2 linked regions of the Tamandua tetradactyla genome follow. The protein of the gene in region 1 interacts with the protein of each later gene in a pairwise test. Links are inferred from orthologs where the notes say so. Each region holds a gene or a part of one and is shown on either strand. Other genes may lie near its edges. The genes, in order: GPANK1 and CCDC184.

Region 1 (16,151 bases):
GCCCCAATTCAATCCCCTCCAGCTGTGACTGCATTGTGAGTGGCTCTTTCTCCCCAACCTTCTATGGGAAACCAACAGAGTTTCATGGCTGGGGCCTCATGGAGTATTACTGACCCCTGACCAATTGTAGGAATCTCTTCATTTTGAAGGAGTCCAGGGCAGGGTGTGGGGGTAGTGATGCTAAATCAGTTTGGAGTGAGGGGCTGAAAGGATTTGGGCCCCTGCCTGGGGCAGCCACATCACTGGTGCCGTGGCCCCTCCCCCAGGCAGTGGCACTGACATCATGGTGAGTGACTGCCGCCGCAAGGAGCATATGCAAGACTGTGCATACACCCACACGTCTCCGGTGTTTGGCTTCTGGATATCCTCTCAATGCTGCTTCATGGATTTATGCAATGACCCTCAGAGCAGAGTGATCTACAATTCTTAGAGCGACTGCAAAGACCTTGCAAGTTAAATTCCATCCATTTCCAGCTACACTCTGGATTCCCATCTGGGCTCAGCCAGGACAACTTCCAACCCCTCACACCAACCCTCCCTGCCTCCCTCCCCCAAGATCCCTATTACTGCTCTGACCATCCCCCAGGCTCTTCTCTCCAGAATTTTCTGGAGTTTTTCCATTAGGCCCTCAAAAGAACCCTTTTTGTCAGAAAGGTTTCAAAAAATATTTCCTGCTCTCTTCTTCTTAGGCTGCTCCTTTACCTCTTTGCCCCAATCCTTTTCCTCCCTCCCAGCCCTCTCCCTTGCCAAATCCCGAGATGTTTCTCCAAAATAAATTGGTGTGCAAACTGTTTAGTTTGTCTGTCTCTTCTGGTGGAGAGTGAGGGAAGTGGTCCTGCATGACTACTCCACCATGGGGGCAAATAAGAGATTCCCAGCCTTGCTGAGCTCTGCTTCCATGCCTCTGATTCAACTCTTGACTCAAAAAGGTGGAGAGGAACTGGAAGCTCTTCTATGCTGAAGGCAAAACGGGCAGGGGTCATCCTCAAAGTGCTGTCAGACTCAGGAAGATGTGGGGGCTGCAGGCAGGAGGGCCCATGGAGTAGGGCTGTGAAAGGGTCAGGGCCAGGGAGGAAGGGGTGGGGGAGATGCTAGGCCTATCTGAGCCTTGACCTCTCTGATCCCGAGGCCCACCTCTTCCTCTTCAAGTTTCCTCCACCTCTAAGGCTGTCTTCAGACTGCCAGAGTTGTATAAACCTAAGCCTTTCTCTTTATACTAAAGTCAGAGGTTGAGGAAAGTGGGTCCAGCAAGAGGAGGCCACACTGGGGATTTGTACCTCTCTGCCCCCATCTTGTGACCTAAAAATTAACACTGATTTTGGTGCTTTCCATCACAGCATAGGCTTTTACAGGGCCACAGAGATCTGTTAACCTCAGCTATAGGAAAAGTGCTGTATAGCTGAAGAATATATACTGCATGATGCCATTCCTATCAAGTACACAGGGAAAATTCAACTGCTACAAGAAATGACAGTGGTTACCCTTAGAGTCAGGGAGAGTGCCTGGGTGAGGGTTTGAAAATGGCTTCAAGTGCTGATGAAGGCTTTTGTTCCAATTTGGGGGCTGGTCACTGGTGTGTATAGTTTACAAAATCCTCCTGATATACTCAAGCTTATGGCGTTTGTCAGAAAGGTTTAAAAAATAAACAGGCCCAAAGTTTTGTAGCATTTGTCCCTAAGGTAGGTGTATATGGTGGTAGTGAGGTCTCCCTACCTTATATCTGACACATAAACCTTATCAGCCAACACTCACTGAGCACCATGTGCCAGGTCCTATGTAAGTACCTTTTCATGTGGTCACAGTCCTATGAAGACTATCTTTGTCTTACCGGTGAGTAAAGTGAGGCTTGGAGACCAGCTTACTTGTCATAGAGCTGGGACTGGCCTCTCAATCACAAGTTACACTGCTTTTCAGAACAAGGGTCCATAACATCAGCATGGGCTATAAAACTTGAAAGACAGGCACCATTTTGCACTCCTCTGTGAATCCTGGGGCCTAAGGCAGGGCTGGACTCAGAGGATTGTGTCCCTAAGTGTTCACTGAATGTATGGGAAAGGGCAAGTTATGTGCATTATTACTCTGTGTGCTTGCAGTTCTGAAAAATAAATTAAAATGAACTACTGCAGCCCTCTCTGTCTACTCTCTACACCTACCTCCAACCCCTGTAGAGGGAGGTCCTGGGTGCCAGGCTCTTTGAAAAGAATCAAGGACTGGCAGGATCCCAGGCCCCTCAGCACCAGGTGATGGCAAGATACAGGCCTGAACCCTTTCATTTCCTCCTAAGTTTTCCTGGTTTAAAAAGAAAGTTTTCTCTCTTCTTAGGTTGAAAAGCCTGGCACCCACTGGGTCTAACTTCCTAGGTTTTGTAGGGTAAGTTCAAGGTTGAGGGGTCATGACTCCTCTTCTTTGATCTCTAGCTAAGCAGATCAGCTGGATCTGGATGGATAGATGGGATGGAGATGGAGATGGACTCTTTGGAGAAAGCCACAAAAGTCAAGTGTTATGGGCAGAGCTCTACATTTCTGTTTGAATCCTGCACCTAAACTCAGCTTGCCTATAGTTGCCCATACCTGAGCCTGACCCCACAAACAATGTGACACAGACTTAGCCCAGACCCAGTTTATTGTGGAAGGAAACTGAGGGACAAAGGGCAGAGTGGGACAGACTCTCCCCTCTCCTTCTGCCAGGCACCTAGAAAGATGGATTTTGGGACTCATAGTTAGTGAAGTGGAGCTGAAGAGGCCAGGGGACTATGAGAAGAGATGATAGAGGGAGGGCAACAGGAGACCAGGGTGGCAGTTGGGGTGGTAAAAAGTGAGGCAGGAATACCAAAATGCCAAGTCAGGAAATCTGCACCGAAGTCTACCTTTCATTCTTCTCGCTGCAGGTTCAGCCTGGCACTGGTTTGTTTGTTTTTCTGGCACTGGGTCATAAGAGATGGGCACAGGAGTTGGGATACTAAGGTAGATATGAACGGAATTGGTAGATGATCAGATTGAAGGAGAACTGGAAGACGAAGGGAGACTATGAAATACTCAGATGATGAGAAAGGGATGGAGGAAACCACTGCACCATTCCTGGCACAGCCTGGGCAGAATTCACCCTTGAGATTCTTTGCCAAGGGGAAGAAAGAGCAGCTTTGAGTGCACTACCAACTTAGTTCAAGAGAGGAGATAAAACCAAAGTCATATAAATGTTGGCGGTTCAAAGGAGGGAGGCCTACACAATCAGGGTGACCAGCAAACGTGGGTGTTCTCCAAGAGGGCAGTGCAGGATTCCGGGGGTGTTAGGAGCAGGATGCTGTAACAGAATGGACTCTGGAAGGAGTAATGGGTCAGGGTCCAGCCCGAGGAAGAACCAAAAGTCCAGAACTGTTGAGAAAGAGGTAGGTGCGACGTAGGTCAGCAATGGACAAGCCCAGGTTCAGGAGCAGGGTGGCCAGGTGGTCCAGGCCTTCATGCTCCTTCTCGGCAGGGAAGCTGGGCAGGGGGAGTGAGAGGTTCAGGGCGTGGTAGAACTTATGGATCTGGGACTCAGGCAGTGGCAGGGCCAGGAGCCTATCAGGGGGTTCAGGTGGGGGGTTCTGAAGTTGGGGGCTTGTCCAGGAGTTGCAGTAATCATACTGGCAGCATTGGGCATCGTACCAATACTCTGAGACATAGGTGTGGCGTTTTTCCTGGCAGCGGTATGAATTGTGCTGTCCACAGCCCCTGATATTGAAGCGAACCTGGATATCTGGAATAGAGGGGACAGCCATTAATCCCTGCTGCCCCCATACTCCCCAGACCTGGCAACCCTACCACTGGCTTCTCCCATCCCTTATCCAGACAGGGCTGCCATCCCAGGCTCCTTCAGAAGGGGCCAGAAAAAAACAGCAAAGCTGACTCCCAAAAACTCCAGACCCTTCCTCCAAGATTCTCCTCTCTTTTTCCTGCACCTCAGACCCCGAGAAGTCCCTATCTATCAGAGGAGGGGAGCCCAAACCCTGGGCTGTTCCCCCAGAAGCCTCTTCCTTGGACTTAACTCACGGGAATAGATGGTGATCACCATGCATGGGGACGAGCCGTTGATAGTGCACTTCTCTGAGCCCGAAATGCAACCTATAGCCGGGTCTTCTAAGAGGCAGAAGTGGCAGGTCCGGACTTTGGGAACAGGAGCTAGGGAAGCAGAAAATGGGAGATAAGAGCTCCTCTGAGGGAGTTTGAGCATCTGGAGCCCCTTCCCCACCCTTTTCCTGGACTCAGTAACCCCTTCCTCCCTGCCCCTGTGCCCCACTTACCCTTTCCCACTGAGAAGCCCGCCATGACCAGGGTGCCTACAAGCACATGGACCTTCATTATGGAATTCTAGGGAGTGGGACAAGTCCCTGAGAGATGCCTTGAAACCCCACTTTCCTATGACCACGCTCCTTGATCCTGAACTGCAGGGTAGTTTTGACAGGCAGTCTGAGCAAGGGTTGCTGTAGATGCAGAGCTATATTCCTGCCTGGGGCAGAATCCTGGGCTGAGGGAGAAGTTAATTTGTCAGGAAGGACAATGTGTTCTCACCCACGAGGTCTGGTTCCTGAATGTGGGGGCACTGGCCTGGTCAGAGATAGTATCTAGGACCCACCTGGATGTTTAACCAGGCAACTTTGTCCTGCGTGGTCCCCCGAGCCCTATTCCCTCCCCTCAAGGATCAGTATGTCTGTGTCTGGGACCATTTGCTGTCTTCTTCCACACAACAGGGCTGGACCAGAGATGCTGGGGAAAAAATGGGCTGCGGAGCCCAGTGTGTGCAGTCTTCTGAGACAGCATGTCTTGACTCCCCCAGCAGGGGGCGCACAGGCACCACTGAGCAGCAATTCCGGACCTTGTCCCTCTTTGCTCTATCCTTCACAGTTGTTATTTTAGGACCACTTCCCCTTTAAAACCAAAACTGAAAGACAAGGTTGTCAAATTTCGTTATGTCCCTTAGAGTATAAACAGACAGCCTTAGATGGCCTGAAAAGAACAAATATTTCTCTAGTCTTTGAAAACTGACTTTTCTCCAGGTCTTTTCCTTGTAATGGTACACTCCTTCACATCCAGTCCTAAGAATTCTGCTCTGTTCTCCACTAAGAACATCACTCAAACCCACCAGGCACAAACCTGTTCTAAGTTTCAACTTGGGGAGGGTGGGCCATGAGGGCTCCTGAGGTCCAGCACGCTGCCACCTTCCCTTCCCCAACCCCAAGCACCAGCAGACTGGCTCATGGCCTTTTCTTCCACTTTATTTCATATTCCCACCACAGTAATGACTCCTTTAATTTAAACTAAAAACCATGAAGGGTTCCTGAAAGGGTGGCAGCGAAGGAATAGGGCCATCAAAGACTGAGGGACAGGTAGGGGGTAATCAGCGAATCGTCTTGACTGGACTCTTGAAGTTGCTGGCGGCTTGGAGCTGCAGCTGGTAGGCCATCGGATGGATCTTGAAACCATAGAGCCTGGGTCGGGGTGACAGGTCAGAGAGGCAGCAGGGTGAGTCCCAACCTGGCCCTGCCAGGGGTCTGCATTCCTGTCCCCACTCCCTACCCCCTACCCCCAGATCCTCCTGGGCCTGCTCAATGCTTAAGGGCAGCAGTTCCCAAACTCCTGCACTGGAAAATATCTGGACATGGATCTTAAAATTGAAACTCTAGGATATATAGTTGTACTTGCTTCAATATAAAACTGAGCCTTTCCTCCCCACAACCAGACCGGTGCTTTAAGATGAGCCAGGTTTACCCTGTGGCTCCCAGGATTCTCTGGTAAAAGGTTGAACTCTCAAGGCAGTGGTGAAAATAGCTTAACATTACAATAGTGCCTTGGAACTTTGTTCTAAACAATCTACATATTTAACTATACCCTGTTAAATAAATTCTGTCATCAATCCTGTTTTACAGGTAAGGAAATTAAATAAGGAATTTGAATAATGCATTCAAGGTCACTCAGCAGAGAGAAGCCCTGGCTTTGGGACAACCAGGGACTTTCATGCCCTTCCTTTGACTCTTGGTGACTGTCCGAGCTCCCCACCTGGGCACAAACTGGTTGGCTGGCCGCTTAGGTCGGTACTCGGGGTGCACCATGAACAGCATGTGAGGGAAACCAGTGCCGAAGTAGGCGCCGTCTGTGTGGTGGTGCCTTGATGACTTGGGTGTGTACACATCCATGCACTTGGGGCAGTAGAGCTTCACCATGGCCTCGCCTGGGATGTCTGATAGGCCTGGGAGACAGCCAGACTCAGCAGGCTGGGCACTCACCCACCAACCCTGACCAACTCCCCCCCCACAGGACTCAGGCCCAGACTTGCTGAGTCCCAACTCCTTCCCAGGGAACCTGCCATATGTCACCCTCCCCAACACTCACCAATGGGAAGCATTGGCTGGTTCTCACAGTACACACGGGGACAATAGCCAAAGTCTCCCTGCTGGTATTTTTCCAACTAAGGTGAATAAAATGGAAGAGATTGGTGGGTAGGTAAGAAAAAGCAACCTATGTGGTTCTGACTCCCTTCTCAACCCAACCCACATCACTCTGTCCGTCAATCCTCCCGCCTCTGTCAGAAGTTCCCTCTCTGGCTCAAACTCCTCGGCTTTCCTTCAGCTAGGCTGAGGACCATCAAAGCCATTTGCCATTTGTTTCCTGAGGAAGAGGCAGCCTATAAGAACTTCTATTCAGACGCATGTCTCCCTCCCTGACTCAAGTCTGGACTCAATTCTCAGACCCAAATTTTGGGATTCTTTCCCTCTTCTCAGCTAGACTCCCTGGCAAGGTTAAAATGTGTGACTTCTCACTGTGGGAACCTTCGTTTCTCTTATTTCTCAGAAGAAGTCAAGTGGGAGCAGAGAGACCTCACCATCTGGGCAATGCCACGGTTGGTGAGGATGTAGCGGGCGTGGATTAATCCATACAGCATCTCCGCCGCCTGCTCAATCAGGTCACTCTGGTTGGGGTTGTCTTCCAGCTCTTCATCTGAAATATGTTCCAGCCCAAATGCAACACTAGTCATTCAGCTTTCCTAGATGCTCCACCCACTCCCAGGGGTACCCGCCACCCACTATTTAGGCATCTGACCCAGAAACCTGGGTCTCTGCTTCTCCTTTACACCTCTCCAGCCTCTGTTTTCTTCTCCCCCTCCCAATTCCTTCCTCAATGCATAAATGCAAAGACGTTAATGCAGAATGAGGAACTTTAGTCTGGAAAGTGCAGGGCAGGAGAAAGAGGCAGAAAACAAGACATGTGCGAAAGATGGCATTATGGAACAGAGTTGAGTTACAAGACAAGAAAGCATGGGAACATGTGGCAAGAACTTGGCAAGAATCAGATGGTGATCAAAACAAAACGAGGAGTTTTGGCTTTAGAAAGCCACAGAAGCAAAAAAAAATTAGGAATTAAAGAAACAAGTGAACAGAGATTTGTAGAAAAAGGGGAACAAAACAAAGACAAATAAAAAAAAACAAACACTGAGAGTGCCTCACCAGGCTCCAGGTCCAAAATCATGTCTAGAGCTTGCCGATAGTGGGGTACTTGCTCATTGAGCCCTGTGAGGTTGAACTTGTCCTGGATGTAATCTTCATCCACCTGTTAAGATGTGGAAGTCAAGAGGGAATTCATAGCGGAATCCACAACTTTGGCCAAGGCAAGTTGCTCTAAATGATGCCTGGTCCTCAGTGTAGCTACTTCTATTACCCTTGTTCCCATTCCCAGGGACTCAATAGAAGTACCTGACTTTCTCTTTCCCATTCACACATACTCCTTTCCATAAAAGTTTTGGCTTCTCTGTTCTAAGGATAAAGTGGTACACCAACCTCCACCTTGGAAACATTCTGTTCATGTTCTGTATCCTTTTTCCTGAACGTCACCCCACCCACCCACTCCCATCTCTAGGAACCACGTTTATCCTCTCCTTAGGGACAGCTGTCTCTCAGGAAGGTGGAAGCTGAACAGCTTAGATTCCCAAGGCAGTTACAATCCTTATGTTACTACAAAGTTTTGCACTTCATAGAACTTTTTAACACACAGTACTTCAATTTTCCTCAGTCAACCTGAAAAGAGACTGCCACTACCACCCCACTATTATGAAAGAGACACAGGTTGGCTTATTCAAAGTTACACTGCTGGAGAATAATGGGATTAGTATTTCACCACAGGTTACTGGGCCAAACTGAGAGGATCATTCTTTGACAGAAAGGAGTTTTCATGGTAGCATGTGAAAAAATTGAGTGAGAACGTCTGGGGCCAGAATATGTGTAGGAAATAGGGACGTTTAAGAGAACTCACTTCACAGAAGAATTCATTGCCACGGAGCCCACAGAACCAGGAGATCCAGGATACCTCCTCTGAGCTGCTCATCTTCACGTCTGCAGGGAAAAAAATATGTGAAGCTGGTGACCCACAGCTCTTGCTCCCTGCCTACTCCCTTAATATCCTCCCTCCTCCTACACTTTGCCCTCCAACCACAGAGAAATTTGGGGCCACCTTATCTTAAAGGATCTCTGACTCTACAGCACACCTTTCCTGCCCCTCTTATTTACATGCCTTGGCCTCCTTCCCCCCCAATCAGACATTCTGTGATGTTCCACCTCCTACCATCATTTGCGAGAAGCCTATATATCTTTTCTCACTAGTTCTCTCCACATCCCTGGCGATCCCGAATGCTAGGTCCCTTTTCCCCCGTGTCAATTCCGGTAGGGTCCGCGCCTCGGACGCCGAAATACCGCAAAGCTCTGCATCGCCCGGTTCCCCAGGGTTCCGAAGTTAATCCTTCCCGGGCAATCGCCAGGTTTCTTCTTTAGATCCCTTCCATAAAGTTCGCACATCCCGCCTCCACCCCTCAGGACACCCCTCCCTCCCTTCCTCCCTGGGTACCAGACCGGGTCACTTCCTTCCCCGCCCCCACATCAAGACGCGGAGACCCCATGTGCCGCGCCCAGCGAGTAGACGTTCCGCACAGCGACGACCTCAGACTCACCTGCTAGACGGTGGCCAGGACCGGGGGAGGGGGGGTAGGGGAGTTGGTGCTTTCAAGGGGCGGCGACGACCGCTACAGCGAAGGCCACGGACCGGACCGCGGCAGAAGCGGGGTAGGGGGGAGTGGAAATTGGAGAGGGTGGGGAAGAGGACGACGCGCAAGCGCTAAGGGTCGGGTGCCAGGGAGGACGCCGGGAGATGAAGTCTCCGGTACGGAGAAACTAGCGAAATGAGGGAAAAGCGAACTACGAATCCCAGGATGACCCGCATCCGACCCTGGGGTCGCGGAATCCGCGAGGAAGGCTGGGGGCGGGGCGCAGCGAGTCACCACCGGAAGCGGAAGCCTAACTCCACGTTCGGGGCCAGAGACTAAGGGAAATATAATCACGTGTTCAGGGTACGGAGGGGCCGACGTGGGGCGGGGAAATAGCGAGCTAGTCTCTGGTTCCTCCCCGCCGCTCCTCTAGCCGAGCGAACACTGGCTACCGGCATAGCGCTGCCGTACACGGAACTGATTCCATTCCGGACCGTTCTGCTGGGCCCTTATCAGCTATCGGGCTCCTTGCCAGAGTCAGGCCAATCCCTGGCAGGGCCCATGTTTCACTTTGGGCCCCGTTCACCCGAAGTGGGAGGTGCGGTCGGCATTCGTGCTGAGAAACTTGGGTGGGATGTGCTGCGCTGGGCTGAGCGGTCTAAGAACCAGAATGGTCCACTGCGCTAACCTGAGGTGGCACCAGCCATCCTGCCGCTCGTCGCCTTGCACTGCTCCATCTCTTAGAAGAGCTACAGTGGGAGGGGTTTTTTGCTATGGGCTCTAAGTGTGATCTTCAAACCCTGATCAGAGTAAGGGTGAGGGGCACCGTGACGTTATTTTATGTCACAGCTTATCGACATTCCACAGGTTTTCCTCTGCCTCTGTAAGACCTTTCTTAACCCAGGGACTGGCTTCCTAGTTCCAGAAAATGGGCTGGAAATGTGGACAATGTTGAGGGTTGCGAAGGGCATTGTGGGGCGTTATGTAAAAGTCGGGCCTCAACCGACTGATCCTCCTCGGTCCTCGCGACAATTGGGCACATGGTGCTTTGCGCGCAAACTATTGGCACGATTCCAGGGCGGGAAACTGAACCCGACGCTTTGCGCACGCCGGCGTCGGGAGTAGTGGCTGTGTATGCATTTTTTTCAATCACGCATGCGCCTTCGTGTTCTGTAGCTATTTGATTGTATTGGCTTGTTTTATTAGAGTAGCGCCATTTTGCCGTACGGAAGCTCTAAGAGACAGACGCCTCTGCTTGACATCCTCTTCCGGAGAAGTGTCATGTCTGTTTTTTTGTTTTTTGTTTTTTTCCGGAAAGACGGAACCCCGAATTAGGATTGAGGAAGATTTAAAGAGCCAGGCTGATGTTTTTCTTAATGGTATGTCTTACGGGGTGGAAAAGTTGATCCAAAGAGAGGCTGGTATTATTGCTGGGGAGGTCTGGACTCGGGATCTCTGGGCAACTCTCTCAGGGTGTTTTCTTTGTTAACCTTTAGCAAGAGACAGACCTGTTACTGTAGGATCTCATATTTTTATACGTGACCTTGCAGGCCCCTAAGTTCGGGGGTCTCTTTTGGGACAGCTATGGTCTTTGATTCTAAGGTTACTTTTCCTCACCCCAGCAGCTCCCTGGAAGTGGATTTGGACACTGCAGAGCCACTAGGCGCTTGGCTTGCTTGTCTGAGCTTCCCCTTGCCAGAGTCTCATTCTCTCAGTTCTCCCCCAAGTCATGTCCAGGCCTTCTCTTATCACCTTCACCCCAGCCAGTGACCCCAGCGACCTCTGGAAAGATGGGCAGCAGCAGCCACAGCCTGAGGAACCAGAGCCTGTCCTGGATGGGCCTGCAGCCCGGGCTTTCTATGAGGCCCTGTTTGGGGATGAGAGCAGCCCCTCAGAACCTCAGAGATCTCAGCCTAAGCCTATCAGGGTGAGAAAGAGGAAGAAAAGAAGAGTGGTGGGGACACCTGTGGCAGAAGCAGCAGCAACAGCAGCATCAGGGGGACACAGACAAGAGAGATCCCTTGAAGCCGAGGACAAGATGACTCAGTGGATACTGAGGGCAGCCCAGGAGGGGGACCTGGCAGAACTTCAAAGGCTACTGGAGCCATGTGAGGCAGGGGGTGCTGGAGGGAATATCAACACCCGGGACACCTTCTGGTGGACTCCCCTGATGTGTGCTGCCCGAGCCGGCCAGGAGGCAGCTGTGCGCTATCTCCTGGGTCGCGGGGCTGCCTGGGTGGGAGTCTGTGAGCTAGGTGGCCGGGATGCTGCCCAGCTGGCTGAAGAGGCAGGCTTCCCTGAGGTGGCCCGGATGATCAGAGAGAGCCACGGAGAGACAAGGAGCCCAGAGAACCGGTGAGGGGAAACCTTACCCCATAAACATATATCAGTGTGCTCTGCCCTTTCTAGTCACTCTGTACCAGAGGTTCCAGAACAGAGCTGGGAAGCTTTCCTCCTCAGTGTAGGTGATAAGATAGTATACTGGAGGAGTTCTGAACTCGAGCTCCCAGAATTTGAATCCTGACTTTACTTACATGGGCAAGGAACCTAACATCTTTGTGTCCCGGTTGCCTCAGCTGAGAAATGGGGGTAATAACAGTACTTTCTCACAGGGTTGTTATTAGGATTAAATGGGTTAATACATGAAAATGTTAAATGGTGCTTGCCATATAAGTATTATATAAATATTAGCTTTACTCATTATTCTCATTATCATTATTATTTTTCCCTTCCCCAGGAGCTTTTTGAGACCTGGTTACCACCTCTTCCCCCAACCATTCCCATCTGGGTTCCCACTGGGTTCTTCAAGTGGGGAGGAAGGCAATTTGTTCCTTAGCCAGAGGGCTGGAGGGAACCTGTCCCACCCTGCCAGCCCCTTCTGAGGCCTCTGTGTTCTTCCCCCACCCCACAGCCCCCATCCTCAACTCAACTCCTCTTCTTCCTCTGCAGGCCTCATGCTCCCTCTCCCCAGTACTGTGAGACCTGTGACGCCCACTTCCAAGACTCCAACCACCAAACGTCTACTGCTCACTTGCTGTCGCTGTCCTGGATTCCCCAGCCCCACAACCTGCCACCTGGAGTCTCTGCCTCCAATCCAGGCTTCAAGCTGCTGCTGAGGGGAGGCTGGGAACCTGGGATGGGACTGGGACCCCGGGGTGAGGGCCGAGCCGAACCCATCCCAACTGTCCTCAAAAGGGACCAGGAGGGACTAGGCTACAGATCAGCACCCCAGGCCCGAATCACACACTTCCCAGCTCGGGATACCAGGGCTGTGGCAGGGAGGGAGCGAGCCCCTCGAATGGCTACACTGAGCCAGAAAGAGGAGAGAAGGCATGAGAAGGGCAGGGCCTGGGAGCGGGATCTGAGGATATACATGAACTTTGACTTCTAACCTTGGTGAGGTCTGACCCTGGTCTGCTGGCATCTGACCATTGGCTTCTGACTATGTCACTTTGGCCTCTGCTCCCTGGGGTCCACCCAGCTCCCTAGATCCTTAGGTTTTGTTCAATGGGCTCTGACTTTTGGGAGAGAAGAGCTAAGAGTTGAGAAATAAATCAGTCTCCTCCCTCTTGCATGATTTATTCACTTTTTTGTGAGATGTTGTAAGGAAGATATTCAGAAGTGTGGGGGCCAAAGTAGCAAGGTCCCCCCAAAGCCATAAGGGGCAGCCCCTCCAGGTGACATAATGGGGTCATGTCCCTGCCAGTTTGGGTTCACTTTCAGGTCCTAGCCATTGCTGGAAGTGCCCTACCTATTCTTTCAAACTCCTAAACCAAGAATTGCCTAGCTCTGTGCAATTCTCAGGAAGCCTGCCCTGACCACTCCAGTCAATTCAGCCATTGATTTCACAAACATAAGTTCATATACAGTGTGCTGAGAATATGAATGAGACATTCATACAGAGGAGTAGGGAAGGTTGGCAGAGGAAGTGATGAGAACGGATAGGGTCTGGCAAGAAGAGTCTAGAGTGGTGGGTGGGCCTAGAGGACCAACACTATCCAGCTTGTACACTGTTGGCTCATCTGGGACCAAAACTTATGGCTTCCTAACTCTAAACTTTAAAGCAGGGATCATCATTTCACAACCTGAAAACTTACGGGCAGGAAGTACATCCTAATTGTCTCCACTGCCCTGTGGTGCTCATCCCAGATGCCAGGCCTGTGAGACGCTCACCATTATCAATTCCAGGAAGTAAAATCTGTGGCAGGGAAGGGCTGCCCAAGTCCAAGGCTTCCCTCATCATCTTTCTTTCTGGAAAAGTCATTCATAAAGTCAGAAGACCTGATGATGGAACCCGCAAAGGGAGGGAACGGGCGAGTTTAGGGACGCACTGGTCGCCCTGAGGCTTCTAGGCGGCGGAAACGGAGAGCCGCGTTTATGGACAGGCCCTGGAGCTCGCTGACTCCTGCCCGGCGCCCTGCTGTGCGGCCCGGGGCGCACCACAGGCGCGAACAGAAAGCGCCGGGGCGCGGGGGCGGTCGATCGGCAGGGTCCGCCCTGCGAGCTTTCGGCCCCGCCCTCGCCTATCCCTCCGGTTCCCCCGTTCGGCTGCTTCCGGGCTCGGCGGCTCCGGGTGGCTTCTCGAGGCCGCGGCCCCGACGCTGGGCCGGGGAGGGGCCACTTCGCGCAGCTCCCGGACGCCTGGATCCCCAGGCAGGCCCACGCTTTGCTCCCGTGACCGGAATCTCCGGGGATATCCCCGGTCTGACCTTGCAGAAGGCCGCGTCTCAGCTGCGCGCGCGGGGGACCGATCGGGGCACCTTACAGGGTTCAAAGGCCCCAAATCAAGGGAAAACGCTGCTGCTGGCTGGAGTTTGCTGGACACTCCCCCCCCACCCCCCAACGACGAGATCGCCTATTCCTTAAGCTACCTAAGAGCGGCAGTTCAAGACTCCCCAGATCCAGGAGCACTTAAGACCCGAGGCCACCTTTCTACCTTCCTTCCTTCTTGGATGGAGCACCGCCTCCCCAGTTTCTGGGGCACCTGGGGGCGTGGCCTTGGTGAGTGAAACTTGGGGTGCTGCCTTCTGGGAAGGAAACCCAGAAACACAGGGAAGACACGTTTTCGGGGTGACCCAGGCCTTGTTGGATCCCAGGACTCTTGGAATCGTGTGCGTTGGGAAGTTGTGAATGAATTTCGGTATACCGCCCTTCAGTCCCCTCAAATTGAAAAAGAATCTAGGTGACCACCTGCCAGACTCGAGTTTGTATGACCACTTGGGCAAGTGAATTCAGAATAGGACGGTCTCACCAAGTGGACACCTGTTCTTCTGAGCCTGAATGGACTCTGGCTTGCTTCAGAAGAGACCCTCAGTCCCCAAACCTGAGAGTCTGAGCAGTGCAAGGAAGTAGGCCCAGAATTTGGGGCTTTTTACCCATTCTGACCATGTTCTTGCACCGACTTGGTGGCTGGCTACCTCGTCCCTGGGGCCGCCGGAAAGCAGCGAGGCCTGACCTGCTTGCCCCAGAACCCAGACAGGTGGACAGCTCCCCTGAGAATTCAGGGAGTGATTGGGACAGTGCCCCAGAAACCATGGGAGATGTGGAGCCTCCCAAAACCAAGGACTCCGGGGCATGGAGGAGCTCTGGGGCTGCCCCAGAACCAAACAGGGAACCCCCAGTTGAGCAAGTGGGGAGTAAAAGAATGGATTCCCTCAAGTGGAAGAAGACTGCCACTGGCACTGAAGACTCTGGGAGACTGGAGGCCGAAAGGAACATTCCCCAACTGGGTTGGGATCCTGTGGACTCAGGTGACTTCAAGAGACCCGGGGTGCCCCCTGAAGGGGCTCTTAGGCCCCCTGGTCCTGATGCCCCAGAAATGAAGCCAGGCCGGCATCAGAAACTGCTGGGCTGGCTGCGGGGGGAGCCAGGAGGAGGAGCAGGGGATCCCTCACTGTACCTGGGGGGCCCAGAGGAGCGTCTTCAGATCTCCACCAACCTGACCCTCCATCTGCTGGAGTTGCTGGCCTCAGCCCTGCTGGGGTTGTGCTCGCGGCCACTGCGGGCAGCCTTGGATGCGTTGGGCCTGCGCGGGCCACTGGGTCTCTGGCTGCATGGGGTTCTGTCCTTCCTGGCTGCCCTGCATGGGCTCCATGCCGTGCTGAGCCTACTTACCTCCCACCCCCTGCATTTTGCCTGTCTCTTTGGCCTCTTGCAGGCTCTGGTGCTGGCTGTCAGCCTCCGGGAGCCCAGTAGAGATGAGGGGGCCACTGACTTGGAGGCTGAGCGATCAGGGAGGGAAGGGGGAGAACAGAGGGAGGACCTGGGAAAGGGGCTGTGACTGTGGGGTGGGTGGGTGGGTGTAGGGGGTGAAGATTGTGTGGCCTTTAGGAGGAGAATGGGGAGGGGGTGGGCATGACCAGGTCAGAAGCACAGGGACTTCAGGGATGGGGAAGAAACTCTGGGATATAAGGGTGCAGGTCCCTTTTTCAGATATGAGAGAAAAGGGCTGCTTTTGAGTGTCTTTTTATGGATGGTGGGGGCACTGCCCTTGGATTCACCAGCTGTTGTCACTTTCTGCTTTTTCATTTTTCCAATCTCCACTTATAAAAATGGAGGGAGGGGGATAAAGACTAAAGTTTCCTCTTTACCTTTCAAAATTCCTCAAGTGGGGAGGAGGCCAGGGGCAAGACAGACAGACCTTTGGCCTAAGAGGGTGGTTGGGAGACCTAAGACATCCTCTGGATCCTGGGATCTGAGCCATGGAGGGAAGAAGTAGGCTGCTAGGTGGGTAGATTGGGGCCCACATGTTACAGGAAGCCTACAGGGAGGATCTGGGTGTTCACAGGAGCCAGAGGGAGTGGCAGTATTGGCCGGAGGGCCAGCTCAGAGGGGCTGGCAGCTCTGATAGGCAGTGTGGAGGATGCACTGGAACTTGCAGTTCCTACTTGGTGGGTTTGCTTATTCAGCAATAACTGTCACACCAAATTCTAAATATACCATTACAAAGTAAGAGTTTACTGCCACTCTGTCCTTCCTGACGCCGTACAGCTGGGGGTTTAGGTGGTGGAGTCGGGGAGTACTGAAATGAGGGGAATGGGAGTGACCCTGGAGACAAACACCAGAATGATGAGGGTTGAAAAATCTTTATTATTTTTGAAAGGAAGTTGGGAGTCTCCAGCTTTTCCCCCCACCAGAATCTCAGCTCC
Region 2 (15,701 bases), on another chromosome or scaffold:
AGAATCATTTCTTCCTAAACTAAACTCAGTCAAGTAAGACTCTCTTCAGTTTCCAAGGCCTCCTGAAAGGGAGTTTCCAGGTTCTTCTGTCACATATCCAATCACTCCCAAGATGTCAGTCTAGAAATCCTACCTAAATGCCTTGTTCTCCTTCTTGCCTTAGTAAAATCAGAATGCTGTTCACCACCCTCTATGCTAGAGTTTGTTCCAAGGTCAGAAATCCACTGAGAACTTTCTTTCTAGTGTTTTCTTCTCTCTTACATCAGTATTGACAATCCCCTTTCTTTCCATAGACCTGAGAACTCAACTTATAGCCTTGCATCATCTCTCTGTTTGTCTCTTGAAACTTTCTCCAAAATCACTCTTCTATCAAAACAACTTCCCCCAAAACACTCATAAAAATCCACAAATACAAAACAGAGAGGCCTTATGTCCCACAATCCACATAGCAATTTAAACATCAGCAACTTTAATATTCTAATAATGTGAAATTGTGGACGGCTTATTATCTATCATGCCCAGAGGTAACTTAGATGGTACTCAGAGTTCTGCCTAGGAGCAAAAAGCCACTAATGGTAAGAGGGAAGTGATGTTTAATAATATAAGAAATAACTGGAAGCGTGTATGTGATATGGTGATGGATAGGCTAGGAAAGAAGACTGGATATGTGACTTGGGATCACACTCTGGGGGAGGATCTAGTTTTAGTTTAATCCTTTGGATCTGGGCAATAAGCATTGAGGTTCACATTAAGTTGCTCTCTGCTTCTCAGAGACCCAGACAACATTGTGGACAACATCAAAGCTTTATTGAAACTGTCCTCCTTAGGTTGTTTACCATACCATCACTAACCTCAATTTCTGGAATAAATATTGTTTTTCTGATCCATGTATGATGTTTAGTTTTAAGTTAGTTTTGCTACCCAGGAAAGACTGATCTTTTATATCATTTTTTATATCATTTTATATCATATTTGATAAGGGCCAAGAGTTTTTTGTTTGTTGTTGTTTTTGTGCTGTGAGTGTCGGTTTTTTGTTTCATAACAGAAGTAGGGAAGGGCAAAAGCAAGGAACAGACAGACCTCAATTTTATTATAAAAAGGACACTGGACTAATGTACCCTAAATTACTACAGTCTACCAGTTTAGGAATGCAAAAGGAAGAAGAACAGGAGTTTTAAAGCATCATAACCTCTCTATTCATAACATCCCCTGACAGCTGACAATCTCACAGAGAGTAAGATTGTACTTATAGGGTACTTACTTTGAGGCTGTCTTCAGAAGAATTAGAGTATAAATCAGGACTTCTCCTTAACAAACAGTGTGGGGATACAGACAGCATTATTCCATTCTCAAATAACATCAAGGGTTGAGAGGAACATGCAGTCTGCTACCTTGAGTTCTGAATAAACTTGGCCTTAATATCTTTGAGACTTTTGAAGGGGATAGTGAAGGGATATGCAGTTGCAGGGAGGGCTAGGTTGGGGGAGTGAGGACATAATGGGCTGCTCTCATTTCAAGGTTGCAAGCACTTTTCTGTTCTGCAAGAGGTGGCGTTTTCAATTTCTCTCTACAGTAAGTATTCCTTTGTTCAAGGAAAACCACTAAATATGCCATTTTATTGTGTGAATATGAGTTATAGATCACCATAGTAGATGGCTGAAACCAAAGAAACTAAACTCCGCTTTAAACTAAGGCAGAGTTGAAGCTCTGCAGATTACATGTCCTTAAGGGAGGTGTTGCTTTTTCTAGGCATGGATTTGGACATCATTCATTCATTCATTCATCTATTCAACGAATATTTATTGAGCACTCACCATGTGTCAGGCACTACTCTAAGTGCTGGAGATGTGGCAGTGAACAAAAACAACTCCTGTTCTACGGACCTTACTTTCTAGTTAGGGGCAAAAGACAAAAATAAATGAGCAAATAAAAATATAGTATAATGTTCTAGCTTGCTAGCTGCCAGAATACAATACACCAGGAATAGAATGGCTTTTTAAAGGAGGAATTTATTTATTTTACATGGGCAGGCACCGGGAATCGAACCCGGGTCCTCAGGCTTGGCAGGCAAGCATTCTTACCTGCTGGGCCACTGTGGCCTGCCCTTTAAAAGGGGGAATTTAATAAGTTGCTAGTTTACAGTTCTAAGGCTGAGAAAATGTCCCAATTTAAACAAGTCTATAGAAATGTCTAATCAAAGGCATCTATGGAAAGATACTTTGGTTCAAGAAGGCTGCTGAAGTTCAGGGTTTCTCTCTCTCAAGTGAGAAGGCACATGGCAAACAGGGTCAGGGTTTCTCTCTCATCTGGAAAGGCATGTGGCAAACATGGCATCATCTGCTAGCTTTCTCTCCTGGCTTCCTTTCATGAAGCTCCCCAGGAAGCGTTTTCCTTCTTCATTTCTAAAGGTCACTGACTAGTGGGCTCTCTGCTTCTCACAGCTATGTTGTTCTGCTCTCACAGAAACTCTGAATCTCTCTCATTCTCCAAAATCTTTCCTCTTTTATACAGGATTCCAGTAAACTAATCAAGACCCACCTGAATGGGTGGAGACACGTCTCCACCTAATCCAGTTTAACAACCACTCTTGATTGGGTTACATCTCCAGGGAGATGATCTAATTATAGTTTCAACCATACAGTACTGAATAGGGATTAGAAGAAATGGCTGCCTTTACAAAATGGGATTAGGATTAAAACACAGCTTTTCTAGGGTACATACATCCTTTCAAACCAGCACAATAACATATATTGATAACTGCCATGGAAAAGAATAAAGCAAAGAAAAGGGATTAGAGAGTTCTGGGGTGAAAGGAGTGGGGGCTGCTATTTTATATAGGTGATGGTCAAGGCTGATTTCACTGGCAAGGCCATGTTTGATCTGAAGTAGGGAAAAGAGTTGTGTACATTCTAGGGGAGAGTGTTGTAGCATGTGCACAGACTGAAGGGAGAGGGACCACAAGGAGGTCAGGGTGTGACTGGAGTGAGAAAGGCTTAGAGTTAGAGAAGTGGCCCAGGATAGGTTGGAGAGGACCAGATCTGGCAGATCAGGTAGAGCTTCTTTTTTTTCTTTTTAATTTTTTAAAATTGTATAATATAGTATTTATACAAATCAATGAAAGAATAAAGCAATAGTTTTCAAAGCACTCTTCAACAAGTAATTAAAGGACAGATCCAAGAGTTTTTTAAGGGCTACCATACCATCACTTCAGATTTTTCCTTCTAGCTGTTTCATAATATAAGGGGCTAGAAGGAATTCATATATATTGTCATCACAAGTGACTTTCTTTTTTTTTGGTGAAAAATAACATATATACAGAAAAACAATAAATTTCAAAGCACAGCACAACAATTAGTTGGAAAACAGATTTCAGGATTTGGTATGAGTTACAATTCCACAATTTTAGGTTTTCACTTCTAGCTGCTCTAAGATACTGGAGACTAAAAATAAATATCAATGTAATGATTCAGCAATCATATTCATTTGTTAAACCCTTTATTCTCTGTATAGGTAGAACTTCCTTTGAGAGGGAGGTAATGGAAGGATTTCTGGCAGGATCTTGGTGCCTTAAGAACAAACCAAAAACCCAGGCATTGTGCCTATAAACTGTGAACCTGAGGTTGAGCCAGAAGACGGGGCTGTTTTCATGAGAGACTTCTTAAAAAGGTGCTTCAAGGTCTGGGTGAAGTTGGGAAAAGTGTCCATTTCCTCACTTCTACTTAACGCCCAGAACTGCTGCGGTATTTGGAAGACATGGATGACATTTTGGGGACTCTGTCCATCATACTACCATGAGCACTGTGCATTTGTGGGATAAAATTGGAGTGTACCCTTGCAGGGGCTGCTAAACTGCAGCTGACCCTTGAGGTACCATACCCCATAGCAAAAGAGAGTGCTAGAAACCACTTTTGATAGTATTATAGGACTTCTGAGAGGGATGGGAAGAACATAACTAGATATAATGGACAGAGTGACACCTACAAAATTTTGTATGCACTGTCTGTGATGGTAGACCGCCACGGACTTATTCAAGATATGACAGGTGAGATGTGACCCTGGAGGTTTGCATAAGTCAGCATTGAGGGATACTAAATTTCTAAAATTTATTTTCATGGAAGGAAAGTCTGTGGGAATGCCACATTCTCTACCTTCTCTAGATGAGGGCATAATTTTCCTTTAAACAGGACTGATGTTCTACAAGCAAAATTGCCTATGGCATAAGGAATTGTAGATGTCTGTCGATGGCACAGCATTATCCTGAGGAGGATTCTAACTTGTGGTCAAACTGTGCCCTGAGCATTTCCAGAATGGTAGCTTCCTAGGGGCAGAAAATATATGGAGAGATTGGAAAGTGGGTGAGGCAGTGCACAGGAGGTCATCAGAAGCTTCAGAGCTGCCAGTGCCTCTGTGGCTATAGCCAACTACCCAGCTTGCTTTGACTGGAATTGCTTATGTGAGAGTGGTGTGGGATAAATGATTGAATATGCACTGAAAGAGGAAAAAATGTCCGTGCAAGTGTTGCTATAAGAGAAGCTGTAACCGTGGGCAGTACAGAGAGGGGAGAGAGAATGGACACCGACAAAGCAGGTTCAATTGGAATAAGGGATCACTTTCAGTGGAAATTCAGCCTGCCTGAGAAGTTGGACAGAGCCTTGGAGTTCTTGCTCTGGTAAAGTTAAAAGTGGAAGAGAAAGAAGGCAATGGTATGTATGTGTGTGTGTGTGTGTGTGTTCGTGGGGGTGGGGTGGGGGTGATTGTAGTGGTTTAAGGTCATGAACAAGCCATTGAAAGTCCAGCTCAGGCTTTAAGTAAGGAGTGGATATGTGGCTCACCTCATGGCCATGTCTGTCACTAAAATCTCTTGAGGACATGGATAGTTGAGCTCCTTCCCAGTCAACGGTTCACAAGGGCCAGAATCCTTGAAAAATTCGATGCTTGTTACTCTGGGTAAGTGGGGAGATGAGCAAAGCAGGTCGGCCATAACACCAGGCAAATTATCCTCTGGTACCGAGAAAACCTAGTCTAAGTGATAGACAAAACCCATAATACGAGTATTCTCATCCTCTCAGTATCTCTGGCCCTCTGAGACACCTGTCATTGACAGCTGGGGTACCTCGAATCTGTGCAGGTCAGGGAAATGAGGGACAGAATCAAAGGAACTGAAACAAACGTGGACTGATCTACATTGGATAGGCAAGGAGTCTCTTCCTATAGAAGACAGAAGGAATACATCCAGAAGTGAGAGAAGCAGAAAAGAGAGAGAGAGTGAGGGCCAGGCTTGTGAGAAAGTTTGGGGGTATCTGGGGAGAAAGGAGAAAGACTAATGGTAACAGTTATGCTATTACGTGTGCAATAAAGGGAGAAGGAGGGAAGAGAAGTTTAAGATGGTTTACTCTGTGCTAAGAATATAAGTAAATCCCTTTAGAATTTTCCCAGAGACTTTAATAAAAATTTCAATTGCTTTTTAATTATTTTTGGCTAGTGTATGTATTTCTTTTGAATGCAATACCATACTGAGATGGGTCACAGGCACTTCAGCTTCTTAAAAGTTACGTTTGGGGAGTTATTGTTGGGGATTTGGAAACTAAAGTGCAGTAGTCAGCTGTATCTTGACTTAGATCATTGTCCTAGACCCGAGTCAAGCAAGTATCTTCATCATGACTGTTACATTAATAGTGCAAAAGATACCCAGCTATATAGAGACTGAGATAAACTAGATGCCAGATAGAATAAATAACAGAGACTATTCGGAATCCAAATTTAAGGGAGAATATGATGTTGGATCTGGGTGCACCTGATAGGAGATCTATATGTGTAACAGCATGGGGTCTCTTCTCGTCATGAGCTGATGAGACTAGGATGAGGGGATAGCAAGACTAAGATAAGAGAAAAGCAGGAAGCAGAAGCAGAACATGACGGGGGAGGGGGGATTTTTTTCTCTCGCGATGTGACATTCCTTCTGAATACTTCAGTGGGATGCCAGGATGCCCATCCTGCTTCCTTTTGTTTGGAAATGGATCCATTCAACAAACCTAGGACATTGGCATCCAGAGAAACCAGCCCTGTAATTCAGCCATCTGACTGAGGCTCTGCTCTGCTGTGCAATTTTTTGGAGACTAGATTCTACTCCTATTTTCCCAACATATTTTCACTCAGAATTCCTGAAATGATCTGGTTTTGTATCTGTCACATCAATCATCTCCTTCTTTTATTTACAAATCTTGCTACTGGTCCATTCCCAGTTCCCACCTACCCTTGGCTTTCGAATGTCTGACCTGGAACTTGATTGGATCATCGACACCCCTTCATCTCTGCACCTGTTTCCCATTTTCTTTCTTGCTTCTCCAATAATTTCCCTCTCCTCTAGGCTCAAGCCTGCTGTATTCTCAGCAGGCTTCATGGCCACTGCCTCTAGACAGCATGATGTAATCTTATGCTAAAGCCTTGACATATCTGGTATCCTCAACAATAGTGGAAAAAAGCCTTGTATGATGGCATAACCCAGCTCTGACTCTGAGGAGGCTATGTTTAATGTAGGGTTAGTGGATTGATAAAATAGGAGGCCCTCTTATGAGGACAGGGCCATTACTTGTAGGTAGCTGTAGGCCAAGAGATGTGCAGTAACAGATGCAGGCAAAAAGCCTGGAAGTCATGCCAGCCTTTTTTGGCTGGAGTATAGCTCTCTTAGGAAGATTGAGCAGGAGGCTGATTCCATAAGCTCTGCAAACAAACTTGCTATAATATGACCAGAAATGTACGCTGTACAAGCTTAGCTGCTTTTATGTGCCTTGTCTTTACAATTTTTTGTAAAGTCTATTTGTAAATATCAGCCCACTTCAGGTGTGTTTAGGGAAACCAAGAAAAAGCATTACTGTCCTCTCCTGAGCCAGTGCTTTCGGAATACTCTGTGGAAGGTAGCAGGGATAAGCAAGGTGAGAGTGATTCAACTTTGTGAAATGAAGGAAGAGTAGATAGGAAGGAAGGAAAGAAGGGAGGGAGGCATGGAGGGAGGAAGGAAGGAGCAAGCGAATAGTATTGAATCATTAGTTTTAGAAAATACTGTGGGTTTTTTTTGTTTTTTGTTTTTGCTCATTTATTGGGAAGAGGATCAAATTTCTAATGGCTGTGTACTATTGTATTATGTCAGCAATGCCTTAGATTATTTAAACATTGTGCTGTTGGACATTTAGGATATTTCCAATTTATATTTTTTAATAGCCGTAAGACAGGCAAAGGCCAAACAGTTTTTTAGTGCCCTAAGTTTCTGGGCACCAGCTTCCTCGTCATCATTAGAGCACCCAACCAAAGTAACCCCAAGGCAACACATTTGCTTTCACTGAACAACTGTACAAAAAACATTCACCCATAGCTAGCACTTCTCCATATTGAAGTGATAGTTTGTTTTTTCCCACATGTATTTGTTCTTAGGAACTTCATTTTCGGTTTCTAACCACTTGGCTTCTCTGACTTAGTAGAGACATTATTTACTAGCATGCTGCTGCTCAGGTGCTCACTGCTTCCCAATCTTGTGTCTTCTGTAAACATACTAAATCAAATTTTTCTTCCTCCACCTCAACTCTCACTCTCCCCCTCAAGTAGTGTCACAAAAGTTGGGACATTCAGTGTATGTCATGGGCACTGGGGAAGGGGGGGATATTACCCTCACACCTGGTCCCCCCCCCATCATCCCTCTACACTTTACCGTTTCACCTGTGAGCAGGTGTAGTATTATTCAGAGTTGGAAATAATGTTATGGATTATCCACAGATCGGGAAAACGTGGATCAGGAACCCACATATTCAGGAAACTGATTAAGCCAAGATCTCTGAATTAATAGTGGCAGAACCATACCCTGAATTCAGGTCTCAAAAAAAATCCACTACTTGTTGAGAGTTCTGAATGAGGGAATGGGGGACAGAGTGATTGTTGTTAAAGTACTCATTCAACGAATCTACTGAGCATTAATTTACTATGTGCCAGGGATTATTTTAGGTGTTGGGGATTAAGTGAATGAGGTGAAAAACAAAAACAAAAACAAAAACCTCTGCTTTTAGGAGCTTTCATTCAAAGTGTGAGTGCTTTGCCTCACTATCCTGGAAAACCCCACAGTGACCTAGATAGGAGCGAGTGGGTCTCCAACGGAGGAAATCCCACCCTTTCTCAGTTTTGTGCTTACTACAGTGAAATAGGCTGATTTTCTGCAGAAACTTCCGTAGTGCCCTCTTCCTGCCCCTGCACAGCTATGGCCTGCCGGGACCCACCGCAGAGCGCCGCCGCGCACCAGTTCAAGTCTGGGATTATTAGCGTAGGTCTTTCTACCCTCCGCTTCCCTGCAAACGGCTGGAGGACAGAAAAGTAGGACTTGGGTCTAGCGCCATTCCTTTGACAAAGGAATACCGACTGGTGAGAAGCATTCTGAGGCAGTCGCGCTCAGTGTCTAATACCCTACCTGGGGGAGGGATGATCTCTCCTGGGCTTGGCGTGTACGCAGCAAACTGCTCCCTCCTGCTTCCTATAGAACGTCGCAGCCACATGCTCTCTCTACCCTGAGGCCACTGCAGCATCCCCTCCCCTCCCGCCCCACCTGCTAGCTTAGACGAGGGAGCCCCACTGCAGCTTCCCAACCGTCCTCTCCTTTTCTTCTCCACTTCCTGGTTGCCATGGAGACAGACGTCATTTACGTGCCGTGCGTCGCCTTGGAAACAGAGGAGCATTCGCGGCGCGGCCGGGAGACCCACCTCTGCCGCTCCAGCCACACTCGCGGGCGCTGCCGGTTAATGGCGCGGGGGAGTCCCGAGGCGGACCCGCTGCTGGCCTCGGCCTTGACCCAGGCGCTCGTGGCGCTCGAAAGGCGTTGCCGGCACGGGCGCAGTCCAGGATAAGCAGGGCAGGGTGCTTCCGTCCCGGGGACAGTCCGAGAGTCGCCGGCCCTGGGACCCTCGCCGGGCGCGCGTCCCGCCGCCTCTGCCCTGCCTCTCCAGGTCCTGCCCGCGCCCTCCTCCCAGGACTCGTCTCCTCAAGTCGGCTCCTGCCCCTCTGGAGAGCCTGCTCTTCCCTGGGCTCCTCTCGCCCCCCCGGGGACCCCACCCCTCCCCGCCCCTTGCCCCACTCCGAGACCGGGCCGCCACCGCCCGCTTGTGCCATTCAATGGAGGAAGGTCTGCTGGAGATTATGACCAAGGACGGCGGCGACATGCCGGCGCCCCTGGAGGTGTCCACCGTGCCGGCCGTGGGGGACGTGATCTCTGGGGAGTACAACAGCGGCATGAAGGAACTGATGGAGCACCTGAAGGCCCAGCTGCAGGCCCTGTTTGAGGACGTGAGGGCCATGCGGGGGGCCCTGGACGAGCAGGCCTCGCATATCCAGGTGCTCTCGGACGACGTGTGCGCCAACCAACGGGCCATCGTCTCCATGTGCCAGATTATGACCACCGCGCCCCGCCAGGGCGGCCTGGGCGTGGTCGGCGGCAAAGGGAGCTTCTCGGGCACCCCCCAAGAGCCGGAGATCCCTTCTCCTGGGACGGGAGACAGTGGCTTACCGGGTCGTGATCCCGAGGATCAGGAGGACGACGATGAGGAAGAGGAGAAGGAGGTGCCCACCAGTTCCGCCACACCCACCAGTCACTGTGAGCGCCCCAAGAGCCCCTGTGCTGGCCTTCTTGCGGGGGACGGACCACTTGTGGATCCCCTTGATCTGCCCGACATTACCCTCCTGCAGCTGGAGGGTGAGGCCTCTCTGTAAGGAGACTCCGCATGGGCACTACCTTCCCCGGCTGGCTTTGGGTTTCCCGGTGCATGACGTGAGGGGATTGAACAGCGCGGTGCAGCATGCTTCTGACGGCTGCTCTTGTTGGTCAGACTGAGAGACTCCCCTGAGGAAGGATTTGTAGGGTGAAGACTTTGGGAGCATCAAGAATTCTTTCTGCCCAATAAGAGAGACTTTGTAAACCGCGGAAAGGTGAGGTTCAGGGAGAAGAAGCGGCCCCATCTCTGGACTACCATCCATCCCCTACCCTACCCTTGTCCCCTCCCCAGCCAACTGGAGAACTCCTAAATTATGTAAATAAAATTCTGCTTTTTCTATTCTGAAAAAGGACTTATCTAGGACTCTGGCAAATAATCTTTAAAGTTTTACCTAGGAATTAAGGAATTGGGGTATTCTGTTCTGGAAACAGGAAATTTACCTTTCTGCTGAAACCCAAGATATTCAGTGCTCTGCAGAAACCTCTCCCCCTCACAAATCTCTGCGCCTGATGATTGGTAAAGAAAGCTTGAGGAGGGAACTGCAGCCCTAGGAATCTGGGTGAATGGGGTTCCAAGGGCGCTTGGGCTGGGAGGAGCTGGCTATGTATGTGCATGAAGACATAATAGCTCAACTTCTAGGATTTTTGCATGGATCCTGCCTTGTCACTGACTTCATCTGGGATTGCTTTTCCACTCACTGGGGCTTAGAGAACAAAGAGCCCGGTTCACAGGCAGAGACTCGGGATGCTCAGCAACAGCCCAGCTTTAGGGGACGTTTGAGGGACTCTTGGGGGCTGCAGTCAAAAGCTGGTCTCACTTCTGGCTATTCCTGCTTAACTTTAGCTCCTTTTCCAGACAAAATGTCCTTGCCCACTGCCTCTTGGTGTTGCCTCCATGATGTCTTGTGTGCTTTGTGTGTCCACTTGTATAGTAGTGTGTGAGCCCTGAGGGGCAGGGCTTTTGGCTCTGATGTTAGGTTGAGGAGGCTGCAGACCCTTCTGGAGCTCTATGCTATCATGGCGCTTCCCCCTTTGCTCTCCTCCCCACCCACCCCCAACCAGGGCATGGAGCATGTGGCTGTCCTGAGGATCCTTAACTGATGTGCCTCCCTCATGCCTCCTCAAGTGGTGACTTGTGTGCTCTTCTCCCTCCTTTGTGTATTCCTTCTCAATGCTTTCCTTGGTGTGAACTTAATAAAGAGGTGTCATCTCCCCTCCTTGCTGACTGGTATCAGGGGGATATCAGGGTGAGGCTTCTGGGCCCTGGATTCTGGAAGGAACTCTGCCTTCTTTCTCCCTGCCTCCAGTTTTGAGGAATTGACCGACTCTGGTCGGGACCGACACTGACAGCTTTGCCGGCTTTACTTTCTTTCCTGGACCCTAACCACCAATTGGACTAAGGAAGGAGGGAGTATGTGTTGAGACTCCTAAACTAAATTGGGTTTTTAGTAGCCCGAACTCTAGATGTGCTAGAGATGTCTTTTCAGTGAAGTAACTGGTCCCTGGGAGATGATTTCCAAGCCTGGGTCCTGGAATGGCAGGCATAACACCTGTTTCATGGAAGGGCTAGAGAGGGGATATTGTTTGGGAGGGTTTACCTGGGATTGTTGAGAGGTAGCGACACACAAAGGAGAAACCACAGTAACTGCCACAGGCGTCTACTGAAGAATGCCGGTAAGGGGTTCCCCAGGGAACCTAGACTGACATCAGCTCTAGTCAGCTCCTTTGAGCAATGGAAATTTCTGGAGGTTACCCTGGAACGAAATTCCCATGGCTGCATATGTGTGTGTGCTAGTGCTGCTGGTTGCTGAGGGAGGTGGAAACAGCACTGGAGTTGCCAATCTAGCCTTAAACCTCAGTTCCAGGACTGAAGCAATCACTTAATACTTAGTTTCTGCATCTGTAAAATGGGAATAAAAAGTTGTTGGGGAGGATTAAATAAGACCTCTAAGAAGTCTTTTGCAAATGTTAGTTTCATTACAGTTCTCTTGGGGATGGGTGGGATGGTGGCCAGCTCATTTGTGAAAACAAAACTACCCAGAAGTTCTTGTTTTATATAATTGTTCCCTATCTAAAGTATCCTTATCCTTCAGAATAGATTTAAGGAAAGGAAGATGGTGAGATTCCCTACAGACAAAGGCCTTTTTGTCATACATGTTTAAGCAGCTAGGGGTCAAAAAGGTCTTTGCACATATAGGATGAACAGAGGAAGCCTTGAATTATGCAGTGATTGGGGAACCAGTGCTGGGTGCCCTAGAGAGGGCAGCTAAAGTATGTAAGAGGGGAAGTGTCCTTGAGGACCGGGAAATAGGTTCCTGCTGTAACAGTTCCAACATTCAGCACTAATAATGACAATGATAGTTATCATTTATTGAGGACTTACTGTGAGCCAATTTTGTCTCTTGATATCCCTATGATGTAGGCATTATTACTATTTCCAAGTCTTAGAGTCTGTTTCTTGTTCAAGGTCACACAGCTGGTACTTGACAGATGCAGGACTTAAACCTTGGTTTGCCTGACTTAAAGGGCCCTTGATCGAAATCACCCTGCTTAAGTGCTCTATTATTTGGATCTTCTGAGAGGATTCCTTATTTCTCCAATCTGGAGTACAAACAGTCCTGAAAAGACAAGAAAATGTGATTCAGGTTTTGGTTAGTGTAGCTTCTGAGTCTAGTGGGTGATAATGCAAAAATGGCACCAAGAAAATGGCCTTATGGACCTGCTCCTTGAGAGTATTTCCTGACACAACACCATCCTTGTACATCTTTCCTAGTCTCTGTAGCTCAGATTGTTGGAGTCTGACATGAATCCCAAGGGTTGCCTTTTCTGTAGAAAAGTCTAGTTAAGCCTTTTAACTCTTGACTCCATTTCAGTTCCCCTTCCTAAGCCCTCTATGGCATCAGTCCTTTAGCCAGGGGCCTCCTAAAGGTTATCTAGCTATTCTCCCCAAGTTTAGTAGATAAAAATCTCCCCCGAGAAAGCGAATTTTCAGCTTTCTTCAGTAACCTGTACTAGCATCTCACAGGTATCCAGCACAGGTTGGTCTCCCACCTCTTCCTTCTTCCTTGTTCCTCACTCTCCTTTTCTGTTTCTCCTTTGGAATGCTCCTGATGAGTTAGTGGAATTGCTAATGTGGCATTTCAGGGGGCCACACTTCCTTGAAATTGAATGCAAAATCTTGTAAGTATGTGCATTCTCTAGAGAGAAGGGCCATTCTTTTCACTTGATTCTTAAAAGGGTTTATAATACCCCCAAAAGACTCTTGAAGCTAAAGGGCAATAAGCATTTTTATCTTGAAAAAATACCAAAGAAAAAAATGACAGTGCCTGAATCTGGGACTCCTGGCATTTTTATCTCTTGGGGCCTCCTAAGTATTTTCCACAGTAAATTGAAATCTTCACATAAATCTGATTACTAACTACTTATTCAACCAATCCAAGTAACACTGACACCTATTATATGCTAAGACTCCTGCCTACCACTACTTCCAAGTTTGTTAGCCCCTGGGAATTTGCTAGAGCAGTGCTGGTATATGGAAGTGAGGAGATGACCCTACCGTAACTTTGTGCTGCTTGGTACAAAGCATCTGGACTCAAGAACACTGTGTGCCCAGCATCTCATAGTCACTCAGAACAACACTTTCAGGTCCTGGCCTTCTCATCTCTCACCTGTCTAAGGATTCAGCTCTTAATCTCAAAATGAAAATACAACTTCAGAGAAATAAGATACAACTTTAGCCTAATAAAACTCAAATCTGCTCTTAGAAAAAAAGTTGTTTTTCTAAAGGGTACAAATTGGCCTCTAACAGAAACAAGCAATTTTATAAATGATCTTAATATCACCACCGATAATGGTCTCTGCTTGATATGTTTAATGAAATGTATCATCTGGACATTTTACCAGCACTGAGGAACAGTTCTTTCCCAAATATATTTAAGTCTATATTTCTCGCAAGAGAGAAAACTGCTTGCGTTTTGGGAAAGCCAGCTTTCATAAGCATCTTTCCCCATCTGTGTTCTTGGGAATAGACATTTGGCCAGGATACCTTGCTATGGTAAGAAACGATATGGAAGGACAAAAGGAGGATTTTTGATTCTTATATTTTTTTCCACTTCTGGATTATCCCCAGAAGGTGGATTTCCCCAGAAAAAACAGCCCTTCTGCTTGAAAGCACAGTGCTTGTAGGACTTGTGCTCTGTAAATAATGTTGTGATGGTGCCACCTGGTGAACAATGGGATCATTACAAGGGGACTCTCAATGTGAATTTATGGCTTTATATTCAACAAGCACCACCAAATGTTTACTGAAGACCTGGCTCACTGCCAGATGGTGGGGTGATAGAGAGAGAGGGAAACTGAATAAATAGAATGAATTTGAGAAGAATACAAAAATGACTGCAATAAACTCCTAATTGGTCTCCCCAGGATCTCCCTCATCTATAATCCTGGTTTAGGAAGATTACTCTCCCTAAACCAGAGCTCGGAACATTCGTTCTCCTCAGAAACCTGCATCATATCCTCAATACTTCTTGAATTAAATATAAAATCTGGTGGACAGGGGAGAGTGGAGCCAAGGTCCTCCCTAGTATGGCCCTGACATACTTTTTTCCCCATGTACTTCATTTTCCTGTTAGATTTTCTAGCCATATCACCAGTTTGAAGCCCATATCATTCAAATTGAGCTGGTAATGATTCCCAAAGGCATTTTAGGGCTTTTAATCCTTTGATGAGTGTTCTGGGTGAGTCCCCCATTGGCCCTTGATTCCATTTCTCTTAGTCTTTTCCCCAAGGGCATGAGATACAAATCTCCTTTCTAGAAAAGGAACTTCTGCCACTTCAGTCACCTGCACCAGCTTCTCATGAGGTGTCCAGTAAAGCTGCCCTTTCTTCCTTACCACTTTTCCCGTTCTTATGCTCCCTATGAATGGGCAATCCTTAAAATTGATATGCAATTTTTTTGTGTTTATGAGTGTGTGCCTTTCTTTTTATTTTATTGTAAACAACAAACATACAAACATTCTTTCTTTTTTTTTTTTTTTGGGCTTCTCTGCACATTTTTTATTGAGACAAAATTCACATAACATGAACTTGACCATTTTAACCAATAGATTCAATTAAGTTGAGCACGTTTGCAATATAGTAATTTCCAGAGCAATTTCATAACTCCACAACGAAACTTCATACCCATAAAAAGACTCACTGTCCATTCCTTACTCCTTTCAACCTGTGTCACCCATTAATCTTTTTTCTGTCTCTATTGATTTACATATTCTGGATATTGCAGGTAAATGGAATCCTTAAAAAATATCTGACCTTTTTTTTTCATGGGCAGGCACTGGGCATACAAACATTCTTGACATACAAACATTCTATACATGGTGTACAATCAATGGCTTATAATATCATCACATAGTTGTGTGTTAATCACCATGATGATTTTTTTTTTTTGAACATCTGCATCTCTCCAGCAAAAGAAATAAAAAAGAAAAAAGAGAGACATGCCTACTGGATCACAGCTCTACAGTTTCAGTTACTTGCCTCTAGCCACTTTAATACACCATAAACTAAAAAGGGGATATCTATATAATGCATAAGAATAATCTCCAGAATAACCTCTCGACTCTGTTTGAAATCTCTCAGGCACTGACACTTTATTTTGTCTCATTACTCTCTTCCCCCTTTTGATCGAGAAGGTTTTCTCAGTGTCTTGGTACCAAGTCCCAGCTCATCCCAGGATTTCTGTTCCATGTTGCTATGTGCCTTTGTTTATAGGAACAGAGTTCAAAACTTTCATAAAATTCTTAAAGAGGTCTGTAAATCCAAAAGATTAACAAAATATGGCAACTACAGTCAAAATATGATCCCCTTCATAGAGTCATTGAAGACATAATTAGTTAAGATGAGGCCAAACTGGATTAGGGTGGGTCCTAATCCAATATGACTGGTGTCCTTATTGGAA

Evidence for each region.
Region 2: the proteins of GPANK1 (region 1) and CCDC184 interact in binary tests that used the Homo sapiens proteins (3 or more experiments, as listed by UniProt). The two-hybrid records come from large-scale screens. The link is inferred for Tamandua tetradactyla from reciprocal best matches to the Homo sapiens genes GPANK1 and CCDC184.

Annotation. Positions count from the first base shown.
Region 1 is NC_135331.1:87,247,612-87,263,762, reverse strand, and holds GPANK1 (G patch domain and ankyrin repeat-containing protein 1), read left to right. Parts: upstream 1-9,270; 5' UTR 9,271-9,366; intron 9,367-10,209; 5' UTR 10,210-10,382; intron 10,383-10,625; exon of another isoform or gene 10,626-10,628; 5' UTR 10,629-10,732; coding exon 10,733-11,358; intron 11,359-11,952; coding exon 11,953-12,394; 3' UTR 12,395-13,413; downstream 13,414-16,151. Other genes in the region: LY6G5C (lymphocyte antigen 6 complex locus protein G5c), read left to right, coding at 267-430; LY6G5B (lymphocyte antigen 6 complex locus protein G5b), read right to left, coding at 3,335-3,735, 4,029-4,157, 4,280-4,337; CSNK2B (casein kinase II subunit beta), read right to left, coding at 5,374-5,464, 6,033-6,222, 6,366-6,441, 6,856-6,971, 7,478-7,580, 8,280-8,351; C5H6orf47 (uncharacterized protein C6orf47 homolog), read left to right, coding at 14,390-15,283.
Region 2 is NC_135333.1:108,225,832-108,241,532, forward strand, and holds CCDC184 (coiled-coil domain-containing protein 184), read left to right. Parts: upstream 1-8,732; 5' UTR 8,733-9,147; coding exon 9,148-9,741; 3' UTR 9,742-10,959; downstream 10,960-15,701. Other genes in the region: ASB8 (ankyrin repeat and SOCS box protein 8), read right to left, coding at 8,450-8,564.